3 linked regions of the Drosophila melanogaster genome follow. The main gene of each other region encodes a partner of the protein of the gene in region 2 in a complex. Each region holds a gene or a part of one and is shown on either strand. Other genes may lie near its edges.

What was found.
Region 1: Ing5 (region 2) and Br140 share a complex: the UniProt entries of both Drosophila melanogaster proteins name them as parts of the enok complex.
Region 3: Ing5 (region 2) and Eaf6 share a complex: the UniProt entries of both Drosophila melanogaster proteins name them as parts of the enok complex.

Annotation. Positions count from the first base shown.
Region 1 is NT_033778.4:7,271,326-7,279,848, reverse strand, and holds Br140 (Bromodomain-containing protein, 140kD), read left to right. Parts: upstream 1-1,747; 5' UTR 1,748-1,966; coding exon 1,967-3,110; intron 3,111-3,176; coding exon 3,177-4,435; intron 4,436-4,491; coding exon 4,492-4,763; intron 4,764-4,959; coding exon 4,960-6,577; 3' UTR 6,578-7,574; downstream 7,575-8,523. Other genes in the region: Incenp (inner centromere protein), read right to left, coding at 1-742, 808-988, 1,052-1,120. UniProt on the Drosophila melanogaster protein: Scaffold subunit of the histone acetyltransferase (HAT) Enok complex which has histone H3 acetyltransferase activity.
Region 2 is NT_033779.5:13,384,878-13,389,315, reverse strand, and holds Ing5 (inhibitor of growth family member 5), read left to right. Parts: upstream 1-2,003; 5' UTR 2,004-2,102; coding exon 2,103-2,139; intron 2,140-2,202; coding exon 2,203-2,559; intron 2,560-2,625; coding exon 2,626-2,828; intron 2,829-3,058; coding exon 3,059-3,217; intron 3,218-3,279; coding exon 3,280-3,381; 3' UTR 3,382-3,468; downstream 3,469-4,438. Other genes in the region: CG7099 (uncharacterized protein), read right to left, coding at 1-120, 195-930, 985-1,537, 1,596-1,680; loqs (loquacious), read right to left, coding at 4,084-4,332. UniProt on the Drosophila melanogaster protein: Component of the Enok complex which has a histone H3 acetyltransferase activity.
Region 3 is NT_037436.4:5,606,088-5,610,235, reverse strand, and holds Eaf6 (Esa1-associated factor 6), read left to right. Parts: upstream 1-1,935; 5' UTR 1,936-2,002; coding exon 2,003-2,149; intron 2,150-2,216; coding exon 2,217-2,430; intron 2,431-2,552; coding exon 2,553-2,684; intron 2,685-2,770; coding exon 2,771-2,955; 3' UTR 2,956-3,074; downstream 3,075-4,148. Other genes in the region: mthl2 (methuselah-like 2), read right to left, coding at 3,420-3,513, 3,570-3,764, 3,826-3,997, 4,062-4,148. UniProt on the Drosophila melanogaster protein: Component of the Enok complex which has a histone H3 acetyltransferase activity. Might be involved in transcriptional activation of selected genes.

The sequences.
Region 1 (8,523 bases), on a different chromosome or scaffold from region 2:
GATCGCTCCTGAACCGTTCGCGAATCGCTGCTACACTTGCGCGTGCGCGACGAGACTGGCGAGCTCTTGTCCAGGTCGCTGAATCGTTCCACCTTTATGGGTCGGTGGCTTTCCACGTCCTTCTTCTTCTTGCGGACCTTCTTGGAGACCTCCGTGGATGTCGTCGTGTTGCTGGCCACCGTATCGTCCGGTCGCGCTGCCTCCGTTGTTACAGAGGAGACGGTGGTCACATTTGCCGTGGAGACCGCATTGGTTAACGGGGGCACTGCTTCGGTACTGAGTTTCTCGCGCTTTACCTTCACGCGGAGTGTCTTCGTGGTGTTCACGTCCTCTGTGACTGAGGCCTCCTCCGGAGGCTTTTGCTGCTCAGCTGTTTCTGCTGCTGGCTCTTCTAGTTCCGGCTCCGCTAGTTTATTTTCCTCTAACGCCTGTGCACTGGTGAAGCTGTTAAACTGGGAGACTCGCTGCTCGCTCTCAACCTTGACCTTTACGAGCTCCTCGCTGCTGGGCCGCCGCATCTTACGGTTGAGTGAGGGCTCCTTGAGTAATTTCTCGGTCTTCAGCTTAGCGGCTCGCTGTGGCCTTCCGGAGCCGAGGGTGGTGTCCGCCGAGACGGGCACAGGCGGAGGCGGCATCAGCGAGGCCGTGGAGTTGTGCTCGTCCTCGGCGATAGCCAGCAACTGGGAGTTGCTGACCCGAGTGCTTTGACGGGCCGACGTGTTGTTGGCCGTGGCGTCTGGAGCTGCTCAAATGGAATATCACAGGGGTTGTTGGTCGTTAATGCTTTAAAATGGCCAGGATACTCACCCTCGGGCTCATTCTGATCCTCGGCCAGTGAGGTGAGTCGCTTGGGGCGCTTTTTCGTTTGCTGCGGCGTCACCGAAGAGTTCTCCTGACTCTTCGCTGCCGGAGCACTGTCCCTCGGTTTGGCCTCCGCCTCCGGCTGGCCTGTGCCGTAGAAGAGGTGGTCCAGCTCCTCAAAGTGGGCCTAAAAAACACATATGACGCCATGTTGACAGTGTCGGAATTTCGTCTCCTGATCCTGGCTTACCTTGCGCAGGACCTCGAGCTCCCTGCGCAGGTCCGAAAGCGAGCCCAGCACGCCCAAGATGTCCTCCATATCTAGCGACTGTATCTGACAAACTGCAAATCCGGATTCGGTTCCTTCGATTTTATCGTTTTTTTCAAATGGCGGCAATTGCGACGCGCGTCAGCATTTGATAACATGCCTTTAATTGTGCACTGTTGACAGTTAACAGCTCGTCGGGTGCTGTAAGGCGCATTTATGCCTCTGCTTTCCAACACTGCACGGGCGATAAAGTTCCCGCGCAAAATGAAAAACACAACCAAAACTTGTTTTTTGAGTGAATATTGGGAGATATTTATTTGAATTCTTTAAAATAATATTATTGGGTTATTTAAATAGTTACGTACTGGATTTCTAGCCCTGTAAATTTTGAAAGTATAACATTAGGTGAACCAGTTCCAATACGTTCCCGCCACTACCATCTCTAGAAAGCAGTGCTGCACGGCTCCCCAAAAAACATATTGTAAACAAATTTGAGGGAAAATGGTAAGGGAAAGAACAAAAAGGAACATTTAAATTATAAATATAGATTACGGAAGAGAATTAATTTGCGTAAAGGACCGGAAATATTTCAAACAAGTTTCAGCAAACGTCCAGTGCTGCACAAGCACTTCCGACGATAGTATCGCCATGGCGAGCTGACCAGCAAGCCCATCTCTAGCACATTTGTTAAAAAATTTGCAACAAGCCAACGAAAATCGACCAGGAACGGTGGACAGCCAAAACCGCGCGCTCTGCGACGACCACCGTGGGATGCACATACGTATGCGCAGCCGTGCCGCGGAGTAGACACAGTGCCCGCGATCCGCGACCAGCGAACCGCCAAACCCCGAGAAGCCAGCTGCAGCAGATCCACAGATCGCGCCGCAGATCCAGATCATGGGCCTCGACTTCGACGCAGTGGAATACTGCAAAGGGGTGAAGACCCAGCAGTCCCAGCCGCCTTTCGCCTGTCCCGTCCGCGGCTGCGACCGCAGCTACAAGACCATCATGGGTCTGCAATACCATCTTATGAAGTACGACCACGACAACCCACAGCCGCTCACGCCCGTGCTGACTCCGAGCCGCAAGAAGGCGCGCTCACGCTCCGGCGGCCACCACTCCACGCCTCGTCCGCACAAGGATCACCCCACGCCGGGTGGCGGTGGAGCTGAGGCCAGAAACGGCTGCTCCTCGGCCAGCGCAGGAGGTGGATCGGCGAGCGGAGTCAGCGCCCGGCAGTACGCCAATCCAGAGTCACTGGTGTCCTACAACGAGGAGGAGGCCACGGTGACGTTTAACTTGGACGGGAAGAGCGTGCGCCTGGGCATCGACGACGCCTTGCCGCTCGTAGAGGACGAAGAGTTCGCCGCCCTAGTGGCCAGGGGCTGTATTCTGAATGCCGACGCACCACCGCTGGAGGAGAACGCGCCCTGGGCAAGGGTCCAGGTGCCCGTGGCCAGGGTGGCCGAGATTCCGGACTACCGAGTGTCCGACGCCCCGCCACGGCCGCTGGCCTACTATCGCTTCATCGAAAAGTCCCTGGAGGAGCTGGACGGGGAGGTGGAGTACGACGTTGACGAGGAGGACTCCGCCTGGCTGGAGCACATGAACGAGGAGCGCCAGCGACTCGGCCTGAACGCCGTGGGCATCGACACGATGGAGCTGCTGATGGACCGGCTGGAGAAGGAGTCGCACTTCCAGGCGGCGGCCAACGGCACACCCACAGGCGTCGAGGTGGACGACGACGCAGTCTGCTGCATTTGCCTCGACGGCGAGTGCCAAAACACCAACGTGATACTTTTCTGCGACATGTGCAACCTGGCGGTACACCAGGACTGCTACGGTGTCCCCTATATCCCGGAGGGCCAGTGGCTGTGCCGCCGATGCTTGCAGTCACCCAGTAAGCCTGTGAACTGTGTGCTCTGTCCCAATGCGGGCGGCGCATTCAAGCAGACGGACCACGGGCAGTGGGCGCACGTGGTGTGTGCGCTTTGGATACCGGAAGTGCGGTTCGCCAACACCGTCTTTCTGGAGCCAATAGGTGCGTAGCTCGATCTCCCAGTTTCTTTGATCCCAGTTCCAAATAACATCTGAGTTCTTTTTATAGATTCAATTGAGACCATTCCCCCCGCTCGTTGGCGACTCACCTGCTACGTGTGCAAGGAGAAGGGCTTGGGAGCCTGCATCCAGTGCCATCGGAACAGCTGCTACGCCGCCTTCCACGTTACATGCGCACAGCAAGCGGGCCTCTACATGACCATGGACACGGTTAAGGACGGGCACAACGATTCGTCCATGCATGTTCAGAAGTTTGCCTACTGCCACGCCCACACGCCGGCCGACGCCAAGCTCAAGATGAACGTGCCTGACTTCGAGGACACGCGTCACAAGATGAAGGAGGCGCGCAAGGCGTTGGCCAAGAAGCGCTCCACAGCGCCCGTGGTGCTGATTCCGACTATTCCGCCGGACCGCGTTCAGGAGATAGCAACAATGGTTACGATGCAGCGCAAGAAAGAGTTCCTTGACCGCATTATCGCCTATTGGACGCTTAAGCGACACTACCGCAACGGGGTTCCCCTCCTACGACGCTTGCAGAGCCAAGGGAACAACCACGGCGTGATACAGCGCAACGGCATTGAAGGATCGCCGGACACCGGCGAGCTGTACCGCCAGCTTAAGTACTGGCAGTGCCTTCGGCAGGATCTGGAGCGAGCGCGCCTCTTGTGCGAGTTGGTGCGCAAGCGCGAGAAGCTGAAAGTGGCTTTTGTTCGCATTTCCGAGGAGGTGGTCATGCTGCAGCTCAATCCGCTGGAGGCGGCACTGAACAAGCTGCTCGATGCTCTGGAGGCGAGAGACAGCATGCAGATTTTCCGAGAGCCGGTGGACACCAGCGAGGTGCCCGACTACACTGACATTGTGAAACAACCCATGGATCTGGGCACGATGAGGGCTAAGCTGAAGGAGTGTCAGTACAACTCGCTGGAGCAGTTAGAAGCTGACTTTGACCTGATGATTCAGAACTGTTTGGCGTACAACAACAAGGATACGGTGTTCTATCGTGCTGGAATCCGGATGCGCGACCAGGCTGCGCCGCTCTTTGTCCAGGTAAGGAAGGAGCTGCAGCGGGATGGCCTGCTGGCGCGATCACAACGCTACCACGTCGACCACGTGGAAGCGGAGGTGGAACAGGAGCTACGCTTGCTGCTGGCGGCGCCGGCCAGCGAGGGCATCGTCCAGAAGCTGCTCATTCTAGCCGACAAGTCGCAGGTGCTGAAGAACCCGACGTATCGCACCAAGAAGATAAAGCAGATTCGGTTGGAGATTTCTCGAATGCGCAAAAGCCTCCAGAAGGCGAGATTCGCAGCAGTGAGTATTGATTTTTACCCTATATGGTTCCAAAACTAATTCATATTTTTCCACAGCGTCACTCCTCGCACGCTAACCAATCCCAAAGCGACGATGAAGACACGTTGGGCGGTTCGCCTTCTAAGAAGCGCACCCGGAAACGATTCAATAGCAGTGGGGTGGACATGGAACTGGGGCATGATGATGATGATGAAGAAGAGGATTCCGATGAGGATTCGATGGGCGAGGATACTGTTTCCAAGGACTTGCTCAATTCCACGCAAACGCCGCCCTGCAGCCCCATTAAGAGTTTAAACAACAGCAGCTCTCCCGTAGGCATCAATAGAAGGTAAGTAACTTGATGAAGTCCCTCGACCATTAACCTTCCTGGTACTTTTCCACCAGGCAAATAGCTTTAGTGTTTACAAGAGCTTTTCCAATCGAAATCGTAACCTTTAGGTTTCTAGTTATGGATGTTCTTTAATTTTGAATATTCTTTATTTGGTGGTCAATCCAATACTTAAAATCTGTAAAATCCGTTTCAGAACCGCCATATTGTTAACGCGCAAGGCACAGGCTGCCCTAAAGAGACCGTCGGAGCCGTTGACGACGCCTGTTAAAGAGGAGCAGCACAATTCGCAGTCGTCCAACACGCAATCCACCAGCGGTAGCTCATCCTCCGTCACCACGGCGGCCACGGCCGCGTCTAGTGGAGCGGGCACTCTGAATCACGTCCTGTCCTCCGCACCGCCAACTGCCTCCAGCTTCGCGTTGACGCAGAACAACAGCAGTGGCGGTGGAGCTCTGGCATCGGGAACTGGAATAGGAGGGTCGTCCTCAGCGGGAACCGCTGCAGCGGCGAGCTTGACCTCTACGGCCCTCGCAATGAACAGTAAGCTAAGCGCGAATCTGCCTGTCAAGTCGCCCAAAAGACCAGGACGCTATCGTCGGGTGCCGGAAGTGAGGCACAGCTCCTCCATGTCACCAAAGAAGTCGCCCAATCCGGCGGTGACCGTCAGCCAGGCACTACCCATGCCCGAGACCCTACCCTTTGAACGAATACCGGACAGCTTTCGGGTGTATAGAGCCAATAATCAGCGCGACGTTAGTGACAGCGACGACGCTCCCTCGCAGTCGAGCAGTCCGTGCAGCAGTTGCTCAGACTTCAGCATGTCGGGCAGCTGCTCTGACTTTGACAGCGATGAGGCTAGCGAAGGCGATGCTGATGGAGATCCTGACAGAGATGGCGGAAGGAGTCGCAGCGAGGAGAGGGACTCCACGTCGCAGGAGGGCACCACCGACGCCATGGACATGCAGCACGCCAGCCTTAACAATGTTCAGGGAAACAACGGCAACATGGCCATTAGCAGCAGCAGCGGAGGAAGTGGTGGCAGCTCCAGCGAAGATGACGAGCTTGAGGAGCGGCCACTGAGCGCGCGGCAGAACAAGCCGATGAAGGTGGGAACGCGAGGAACGCCCACTCCTACGACAATGGCACGAGCAGTAGCTTTGTCAGCGGGTCGGGGACGTGGCAAGCGGCGAAGCAATCTCAGCGAGTCCACCAGCTCCACGGCCACGCCACCGCCACTGCGAAGAGCTGGAAAGCTGCGGTCAGCCACGCCCAACGCCTCTCCCCTGGTGAACAACATCAAGGCGCGTAGGAACACCACGGCGGCTGGCAGTGCACCTCTCACGAATAATAACCGCAGCAAGCACAGTGAGGATTCCGCCTCGTCGGAGAGGCACAATAACCACTCGCACGGCCAGAAGCCGGCGCTGGAGCCGCTTCAGCTGGTTTGGGCCAAGTGCCGTGGCTATCCCTGGTATCCCGCACTCATCCTTGATCCCAAGACGCCCAAGGGATTTGTGTACAACGGAGTGCCGCTGCCCGCCCCACCCACCGATGTGCTGGCGCTGCGGAAGAACTGCCTCGACGAGATTGTGTTCCTGGTGCTTTTCTTCGATGTTAAGCGCACCTGGCAGTGGCTGCCGGCCAACAAGCTGGACATCCTCGGGATCGACAAGCAGCTCGACCAGCAAAAGCTGGTGGAGTCGCGAAAGCCGGCGGAGCGGAAGGCCGTAAAGAAGGCGTACCAGGACGCGCTACACTACCAGAGCCAAGTCTCCGACTTGGAGGGCCAAGGACCCGATCCGATCATGTGAAAGCTGATGGCCCGATTGCAACTGTAGGCGCCGCTCGAAAGAATTCAGCCATTTAGTTAGCTCCCCCACAAGGGATCGCCGTATTTTTATATCTCGTTGTTGTTACTTGATACTCGAAGATGACGCAGTTGAAGAAGGCCCTCCATTAGAGTATTTCGTTGGCGAATTTCCAATTTGCACTGCAAGTGTCTTTAATTTTCGTTTGTTGCCAAGCCAAGTCACCAAGGATCGTTTACCCCAATACCATTATGTACAGTACAGTTTTTGTAATAGGCGCAGTTGGCGAAATCGTTGGAGGATCCTTACCCTTGTACATTATTTGGCTTTTGAGACTTCGATTGTGAAATGTTAAGTAGATCCAGGAATCGCTCGAACTACAGCAACATGGAATTTATAACCTCAAGACGATTCACGCGAAATCAAATCAATGTTTAAGTTAAATAGTTTTAAGCTCTCCTACTGTTAAGCCCGGAATCAACATTATAAGCACAAAACCAACCGCTAAAACCAAGCAAGCAGTCGCCTCAAGTTAAAGTCGTGTAAAAACTAGCCGCTATATAGGGGACTAGAGATGATTATAAACATTTACAAATAGCATTACAAATTGTATAGATGTGAGTGTGTGTGTGCGCGTGAGTCTCCATAAATCGATTTATCTCTATATGCAAATAGTGTACGTCTTGATTTCCACATGAACAAATAAACCATTTGATTATTGCGATGTATTAAAGAGATGCGGATTATTATTATTATTATTATTATTATTATTATTATTATAATTACTGTGTGTAATTAATGCAACACTTTCGTATGCCTAAGTGGAACGCGTAGATAATTAAGTATTGAAGTAGTTGGCTCCCGTACCCCCCAGCTCCGCCACCCAAAAACTCAATCCACACCAGTCCACCACCTTTGCCCTTAAAAAGATCGAACATTGTTTAAACCTAATGGTAAATACAAGCAGAAAAATAAATGTTTTAAACGAAATCATTTCACTTTAATAGCCTTTGTACTCATCAGTTTGACATGCATTCGACTGGCCCACAGTTTTGGCAGCTTCGCATCGCAATCGCGATCGACACCAAAAGTGCGTCAGTGGGGTTCGACAGGAATTGACTTATATTTACTTTGAGTATCCCCAGTTCGTTCACCGGGTTTTGAGGGGTCCGCTAACAGTGTCATATTCACCCCACATCAATTATCACCCCGGCAGATGTTTTGTTTTACAGTTTTCGGCAGTACGGTTTTAGCCCGGGCACATGACACGTGATTCACCTGCACCTGCTCCACGGTAATTGGCTTTCGATTTCATCCCATCTGGCTGGCTAAACACTCTTATGAAATCTTACATTACATGTATCTAATTTACTTTACTAAAGCAATAATTTAATTGAAATAATGATTTAGGAACTTGGAAATGCAGTTAAATGATAAACCAAAAATTGATTATTTCATGAGGGTATTCATTCATATTTACTGCCCAACAATTTTCGAGAATAGTATCTTTCGTTCAAAACCCATAAGTCACGGCTCGGAGGCATGATTAAGCCAATTAATTTGAGGAGCAAACAAACCCATAAGATTGAGCAAAACGATTAAAACAGAGCGTAAACAAAGTGTTTTTTGTGAAAAATTAAGTTGTTTGCGTGACAAGTGCAACGCTCAACAAAAATAAATCTTGAAATATTCTCTACGCATTTTTCACGTGCTCAGACTTGAGAAACCGCGCCAATTGTGTTTGGGCCACAGTTCGCAAACAACTCAAGTGCTAAGCCCGGCTCAAAGTTGTCAGACCGGGCTTATTCACAGCTACCGTTCATTGGCGGCAATCGAGGAGCTATTAAACAACTCAATTTGAATTTAACTGTAGATGATAGAACGCCCAAACGGCCAGCTGCTGACCTCAATTAGCAATGCATATTTATCACCCCTGTTGGCCTATCCGG
Region 2 (4,438 bases):
AATTTGGCGCTGCGTTTGATTGGCGGCTCTGGTCTTCTTAATTTTGAACGCTATGGGTCGGGCATTCGTCACGATCTCGGGCAAGTCCTTCAGCAGGACATCAGTGCTTTCGGTAATATTCTAGATAATAATATAGAAATACTAGGATAAACGCTTTTTCCTTATATAATATATATATATATATATATACTTACCGGCTCATCCTTACACCTAATCTCCAGTGCCTTTTTCTTGATCTCGTCTTCTTTTGAAAGGTCCCCCAAATGTCCTACGGCCACAAAGCGGAACTGCCGGCTCTTTCCCACCTGCTCCGAGTACTCTTTGACCAGGCCGTGCTTTTTCACTCGCTTCACAAAGTGTCGCATGTAGGTGGCGTTGATACCCGTGTAGTGGCACAACTCGTTGCTATTAAGACCACGTTTACCGAATCTCGCCACTGCGCGGAAAACTTCCTCCTCCGGAGGCATATCAAGAAAGCAGTGGCCCAGATCCAAGAACTCGGATACCTGATTATCCTCGCTGTCGTCGTTCTTGTACAGGTCCTTCAGTTGCATATCCGGATTGCGCAGCTGTATCACTGTCACCTTGCGTGTGGTTGCTTTGGACTGCTTTCCCGACTTTGTCAGTGGCGCAACGGGCCTTTCAACTTGCTTAGTCTCGAAGAACTTACGAAAGGAGTGGGTCACCAGCAATTTCTTTGTCTTAAAATTGGTAGGACGGCCTAGAAGATCGGTTATTTCGGTGACGGGCACTTGGCGGCTTGGCGTCCGCATTATTCCCAAGTATAGTTTTTCAAGATTTTCCTGAGAGTGGTTCTTGTAGATGCGGTAAAAGCGCGGTAGCATCAGCAGCGAAGAGACCAAGATGCGTCCCTTGTTAATTTCGTTATAGTTTTGGGCAATAATCAACTGCAGATTTATCAACTTGTTTCTGTAAGGAATGTAATTTTAAATATTAAATATAAGTATAGTTCATAAAACTCACTTGATATAGAAGAGAATCCCTGTGTCCTTGCTGTAGTTTATAAGCGACCAAGGGCCTGCGGTGGTGTGTCCGCTGTACCGAGACCGTCCGATGGCCTCCAGAAAGATGTAGTTGGGCAGTGGCAGATTCTTGGGCATCAGGAGGCTTTCGGGCGTGAGTGCTGTCTCCCGCAGCTCTTGGGAGGCCACCACTACGAGCCTGCCCGCCCACTGTTCCGTTGCTTGAGCGGCATTAAGAGAATGCAGATCGCTGGAAGGGATCAGCTTACGTGTCTTGAAGTCGTTGCAATTACCCTTAATGTCGCCCTCTTGCACATAGGCGGCCGGGAACAACATGTACGGACACTGCTCGGGCACCACGGGCAATCCCAGCTGCTCGTCGATGTCGTTGAGGCGATCATAGTAGGGCATTAGTGGTCTTTCCGCCGGCAGTTCAAAGAACTCGATCTTGTGAGGCGGCGTGCGTAGCAGCAAGGTCCACGTCTGTTCCCGGATGCGGTCAGGCAGCGGAGAGGGGAAAAACTCCAGTCGCCTGGCCAGAAGATCCCAGAGATCTAAAAGCATAAACAAATAACTTGGAGTTGATGTGTGGAGGGCATGGAAATCTCTTACAGGGCAATGTCACTCCCTCCAGACCCTCCAGAGCTACCTCATCGTAGATGGCATTAATCCAGGATCCTCCGGAACTGGCGCTCATTTTTCAAAACTTAATTTACCTTTAAAATGAGCTATCAAAACAAATTAGTGTTTTTGATTGTGATTATACTAGATGTAGAGTTGCCAACCATCATAAAGTTGTAACCACACTTAAAAACAGCTGTTGCGCAGTCGTAACTAAAAGTTTTTCAAAGATTTAGCAAATAACTACCACAAAATCCGATCCGAAATCTACTTAATGTAAATATTTTATTTTTTCTTTTAATTTTTAAATTTAAGCACTGCCCAATTGTTTTGGGTTATGCTTTTAACCACTGTAAAGTAATCGATAACTTTAAAAAGCGAGCTGTCATCCCTAAATATCCCATGTACAACAATACAGCTGTTGCTATCGTAAACAGACGCTGGAATTTAGCTTACACACTCCATATTCTTTGTTAAATCCGATATTTGACACCGAAAATGTCATCGGCTATATACCTAGAGAACTATTTAGACGGTAAGAAGATTCTTAAGCATGGAAAACACTCGAAAACATATATTATTCACGATTTACAAACAGGATTGGAAAGTCTGCCAACGGAGCTGGAGAGAAATTTTAAGCTGATGCGAAAATTAGACGATCGAGCACAAACAGCGATGAAGAGCATCGATAGCCATGCCAAGGACTTTATGCGCAAGCTGGGCGAGAACGGGGCCATGAGCGAGGATGAGAGGAGGGAGCGCCAGGAGGATATCAAGGCACTGTTCGGAAAGGCCAAGGAGTACAGCGACGACAAGGTGCAGCTGGCCATTCAGACCTACGAACTAGTGGACAAGCAGATACGGCGACTGGACAACGATTTAGCACGCTTCGAGGGTGAGATTCAGGAGAAGGCCTCATCCACGCGTGCCAAATCCGAGGAAGTGGTGGCCAAGAGTAAGACTGTTCCAAAGTATCTATTCTTCCACAAGCTGACCCCTTCCTTTGATTCCATTTGTACAGAAGGTCGCAAAAAAACCAAGGACAGCAAGACGACGGGCAAAAAGAAAAAGTCCGCATCCTCGGATGAGGAAACTGGGCGCGGCAACAACCAATCTAACGCCAATTCCAGTGTCAATTCGAGCAGCAATGCCGGGCAAGGTAGCAAAAAGAAAAAGTCCAAGGTAAATCAAGAAAAAGAAACTCGCAAGGGGGGCGCTCAAAAGGTAAACCATCCACATTCTCATCTATACATTGTTAGAACTTTAGTATGTTTACTGTTTCCCAGTTTTCATTGACCCTAAATAGAATACTCTTTACTTTTATAGATTATCCCCATAGAAATCCTGCATTATCCACTGTTTTCCATATCGTTTGCATTTTCACTTATGTACATGCACGCCTCCACTATCGTCGAAACCCCATTCTTACTCATTTTGCTAACATACCCATTTAGAAAACCGTCGAGGTTGATGACTCTGAGAAGGAATCGTGCCACACGGCCGCCACTCATCCCAGCGACGTTATGGACATGCCCGTCGATCCCAATGAGCCCACATATTGCCTATGCCACCAGGTGTCCTATGGAGAGATGATTGGCTGCGACAATCCCGACGTGAGTATTCGATTTTGATGTACTCTGTGGTCAGTTCTAGATCTTTCACTCTACCATTTTAGTGTCCCATCGAGTGGTTTCACTTCGCTTGTGTTGGCCTCACCACAAAGCCAAAGGGCAAGTGGTTCTGTCCCAAGTGTACGCAGGACAGAAAGAAGAAATAGATGCAATCCTTTATGATTACTTAGAATACTACTTTAGATTAAGCACAAAATTACCTATTTAAATAAAGCCACGGCTACTATAACTTCAGTATTATATTTGTCAATTTATTTCCTAACTAATTTGTAGTTAAATAATTCCATATCATAAAAGATGTTTTCACAGAATATTTCTAAAGTTGGATTGATTAATTTCAATTCATCAATGCCCTTTAATTCGGAGTTTACAAAGTTTTTCAGCCCAAGGAAAAGAAAACTGCAAAAGTAGCGATTACCAAATACCGATTATATTCATAAGCCTTTTTCCTTCGCAAACTAGCACGTAGTCTACCTTAAACCTAGTTTTATCTGCCGTTTTACGTTTTTCAGAATTTGAAAGCGACTAGAAGATTCCAATATCGATTACACGCTTGTCTGTATTTGCAAGCGTACATACATTCATCGGTAAGTGTAGTACATATATGAACATTTACATATGCAGTTAACAAATACAACTGCCTAATCAAAGGAATCGGTGGAAAAGAAACAAAATATATATATATATATATGTAACATCGCCACTGCATTGAGCCAAAAAGTGGAAAGAAAAGCAATTAGACTGGTGCATTAGTTATCCCGTATCCACTCGGTAATCGCTCTCATCAAATACTCGTGATCGTGGTCGTGGTGTGCGTTCAGATTTTGCTATTCAGTTGGCTGCACCCCCTACTTCTTGGTCATGATCTTCAAGTACTCGAGGGCATTCTGGGCGGCATGCCGCTGGGCATCGGCAGCTGTTGGTCCGCTGCCGTGGCAAACGCCAACGGGCAGCGTGGACAGTTGAACCAGGCACTGGAACTGGCCAGAGAAGGTCTTCTCCTCTATGTCCACATAGGTCACCTCGAACTGGTTCTCCGTGGCGATTTCGCCCAGCAGCTTGATGTAATCAATCTTGTTGTTCTTCAAGCAAGTCTTCTGAAAAAAATACAAATGGAGTCGAATTAGCAGAGTCAAATTAAACTTTGAACTTTCAAGCAAGAACACTATTATTATAAGGATTGTGAGGGGTTAAGGCAAATAT
Region 3 (4,148 bases), on a different chromosome or scaffold from region 2:
TCTTAAATTTAATTAAAAATATGCTACTTGAAAATATTGCTCTTGCTGAACGTTTCATCTTGCAGTTTTCGCTATCTGCCCAAAATGAAGCAGACTCATTTTCACTCGCTTGGCGTTGGGAAAGCGCCGGCTCGGCCTATGTATGCTATATGTGAAATTCTCGGAAAAGTCGAAAACACACTAAGCGGAGTGCAACAACAACGTCATCGTTGCAAGCATTGAACTCGATTTTGTTTTCATTGCCGCCTGAATTTCTAAAACGCAGCTAATTAGTCGAGAGTGTTTGTGTTGCTGCTGCTGCCGCAGTTGTTGCACTTGCAACACTGCTGCTTCTTTAGCTGTGTTCCACTTTTCTGGCAGTTTTCCACTTTTCCACCGGCCAATGCTGCGACTGCTGCAGATTTCACACGCGGCCAGGCAATTCATCATAAAAATTATAGTAAGCTGCCATCCAATGGCAGCACTGACCAAAAACAGTTGCAGTAAGCAACAAACTAAAAACTAAGTTAAAAAATATATGTATATTAATAAAAATGTATCGAAGAAGTTACAAATACATTAAGAAGTAACTAACTAACGTATCTTTATTGACAGCCACAATAAACTTCTAAATATTTTTCCCAGTGTAAACCAGAAGAAGGTGGCTTAAGACGATCGAACGTCAGAGTTTTCAGTTGGCAGATGTTTGCTTAAAACCAAATATAAATAAGTTTTTCCAAGTCTAAGTCCAGGCCGCGCCTTGTGTGTTTGTTTAAATAAAATGAAAGTTTTTTTGCTGCACTTTTTGTTGTTTCGCGAATAAGCGCGCGCCAATGTTTGACATACATTGAATAGACTGCAGTCTGTCAGTCAGTCGGTCACTTAGCCACTGAGCCAGTTAGTCACCTAGTCACTAAGTCGATTGTGTTAGTGGAACACGACGGAATGGCAGACTTTGCTTTAGTCAGCGACTTGCAACGGTCGTTGCCGTTTCGCTTTTGCTGCCCGCTGCATTATGATTTCATTTTCTAATCGAGTTCGTCTTCATCCGCAGCCTCACTTTATATTGCTTTCCTATAGTCAGCGCGAAAGGCGATGTGCTGCAGAAATAAAATCACGCATACGCCGCGTATGACGAAAGTGAAATAGGCGCGACGACGAAGGCCCATAAAAAGCGGTAGCCAAAATAGAGCCAAGTAAAAGAGAAAGAGTAGGCGGCAAGAGAGCGAAAGGCGGAAAAAGAGGAAAGAGGGTTCGGAAAGAAATAGAGAGCTAGAACGGTAGCTTCACTTTTTTTCGGCAGTTCAACAAACTTTGAAACGAACTTGGGTCAACAAACTATGCAAGACCCACGGGGAGATCATTAGAAGATCACCATCAAAAAGACGATGATGATGGCGCTACAGCTGAACTGAATCTTTTGTCCGTGGTATACGCATAAATAAAAATAACAAGACGAGAGGTCAATGGCAGCCACACTGGCTTCAAAATGCAAAGTGGTGAAGGGGCAAGCACTGTTAAATAAAATCTAAGAAAATGTGAAAAAAAACATATGGATCTAATAAGAAAAATCTTACAAAAATAAATGGTCATCAAGTTTTGTAACTGAGTTCTTTGACCAGTTTTTTTTTTTCCTGGGCTATTTTTTGATTTCGGCAGTCCTATTCACTTACAAAAGTGAATAAATGCAGTATTAACAAACTTTCAATGGATTTATTATGAAATAACTTTGAATTTTAAGTGCAGAAACTAACATTTAAAGAATCTATAAAACATATACACAAATAATATAAGACTTATTCATTCAAACTAATAGTTTATAAATTAGCTTGTTAAAGAAAAACGACAACGCCACCTATGCAATTAGGTTAAGAACTAGCATGCATATTTCAGCAAAGACATAAACCGATAGTCGGAACAGATATCCGTAAATCGATTAATTGTAATTACTTTTTATCAATATCCGGTCACATTGTCCAAAACAAAATATAAATTTGTTGAAATTCGAGCATTTTCTGAAAATATGAGCTCGCCAACGAGTAAAAATGTCAGCGAAACGAACGGGAACAAGCCAAAGAAGTCGGCCAAAACGAGCTCGAATACGAAAGGCGGCTCCATGGACACTCGCGCCGAGTTGGCGGACCTCATCAAGAAGAAGGCCGAAACATCGGTGAGACACAATATAAACAAACCCGAAATCGCAGCACTTTATCATTTTTTTGTTGCATAAATGACAGGAACAACTGGCCAATCTGGAGCGACAGATCTACGCCTTCGAGGGCTCCTACCTAGAGGACACGCAGTTGTGCGGAAACATCATCCGAGGCTGGGAGCGCTATCTGACCTCCAACAAGGCCACCAACTCCAAGGCCGACAAGCGGAATCGCAAGTTCAAGGAGGCCGAGCGCCTGTTCTCCAAGTCCAGCATCACCTCCATGGCTATATGCAATCGTAAGTGGGGGATAATTCATACTGTGTCATTCGCTTGTGTAATCGATCTAGGCTTTATGCCCAGAAGGGTGTAAATTGATACGCTTTAGTTGCCATACATGAGTATGTTTATTCGCCTTTAGCTGAGCGCGCCAGCGAATCGGATTCCATCACAAATGAAGACTCCAGCGACAATCAGATCTCAATCAATCAGAACACCACAACGGCCCACGACGGAACCACGACAATCAAGAGCACACCGAAAGACGAAAAGGGTAAGGCAGCACAGCACATTGAGATTCAACTTTAGCGCTTTTCTCCAGAAAAGTATATATGTTTAATTACACCTTTTTATTTACAGATTCACCCTCGCATCGCAATGAGGGCAGCGTAGTGAGCGGAATGGTGTCTGGATCTACGAACAGTGGAGGGAACAAGGATCTCCTCGGCACACCCACTTCGAATACAAAGAGCAAACTATCCACGAACTCCAGTGCGACAGCGAAGAAAAGCGGTCACATAAACAAGAAGATTCGACATCGATGATAACTGCTACCGTGTAATCCGCATCTGATAAAGCACTATTTACCTTCAAAGTTTTTAAATTAAAATTTGTACATGAAATAAAGCGAATGTAGATTTACAAACTTAGTTTATTTCCATACAAATGTCTTCTTTCTACATTTATCACTTCAATATTTAAAGGCAACTACTTTCAGCATCGCGTCATACTTTTGACTCATAGTTTTGATAGACATACAGGGTTTTTCCTCGGCTCAAAGTTAAGTTTGCAATAGTTTGATTAGGAAATGATGAGTAAAATATATTGTGGCACACTATAGTCGATTTTCTATAGTCGATGCACGTCATATAAAGAAAAATATTCATACATTTTGTGATTAAATGAATTCTATATAGAATGTAGAATGAAGTGAAATATATTCATACATTTTGTGAGAAAAAAAGTTATACTTTACTATTAAATTGATTAATTCGAAGAGAAGAAAATACTATGTCATGTTAAAATGCCTTTTTGTTTGAGAAATGGATTCAATCGTACTTTGAGTTGCAGATCTACTAAAGGCTCTCTGTTTGGGAAATATTCTGAAAAGAGACATTTTAGGGAACTGGTTACCCGAACTATGAACTATAAGACTTACTGTTTCTTGAATAGTACAAGAGTTTTGCGCCGCAGAATGAATAGCACAAATATAATGACGCCTTGGGACCAGTTGAAGTAGTCAGCTACCAGAAAGATATTGACCCACAGTTTCTCGCGTTGCACCAAGTAGGAGAATATCTCAAAGCTCCACGACATCCCCATCACAGTGAAGAGCAGCAGAAATTGTGTGTAACTGTAACGAATTGATAATATTTATCTTAAACTGACATTTTCAACTATTATAATTGATATACTTCTGTTTGTCCGAATTCAGCTTCTGTATTCTACCTTCATTGCGAGCAATCTTTCGAAGAGTCCTCTTGGAATCTATTATGTGTTTAGCCGTCAGAACAAACATAGTTATGTTGAAGAGAATCAGGAGCACCATCGGTCCATAGAAGTACACCATTGCAGACCAGCTTTTAGCTGAGGGTGGAAAGAAAAACATTGGTGAGCTGGTACCACAAGCCGGATACAAAACAGAACCCACTATAGATCCAGCAATGCCCTTCGTCGCCCACGCGAGGCTGCCACTCCTCGTTGTTCACAACGTTATCAGCCAGATAGGTGACTCCGG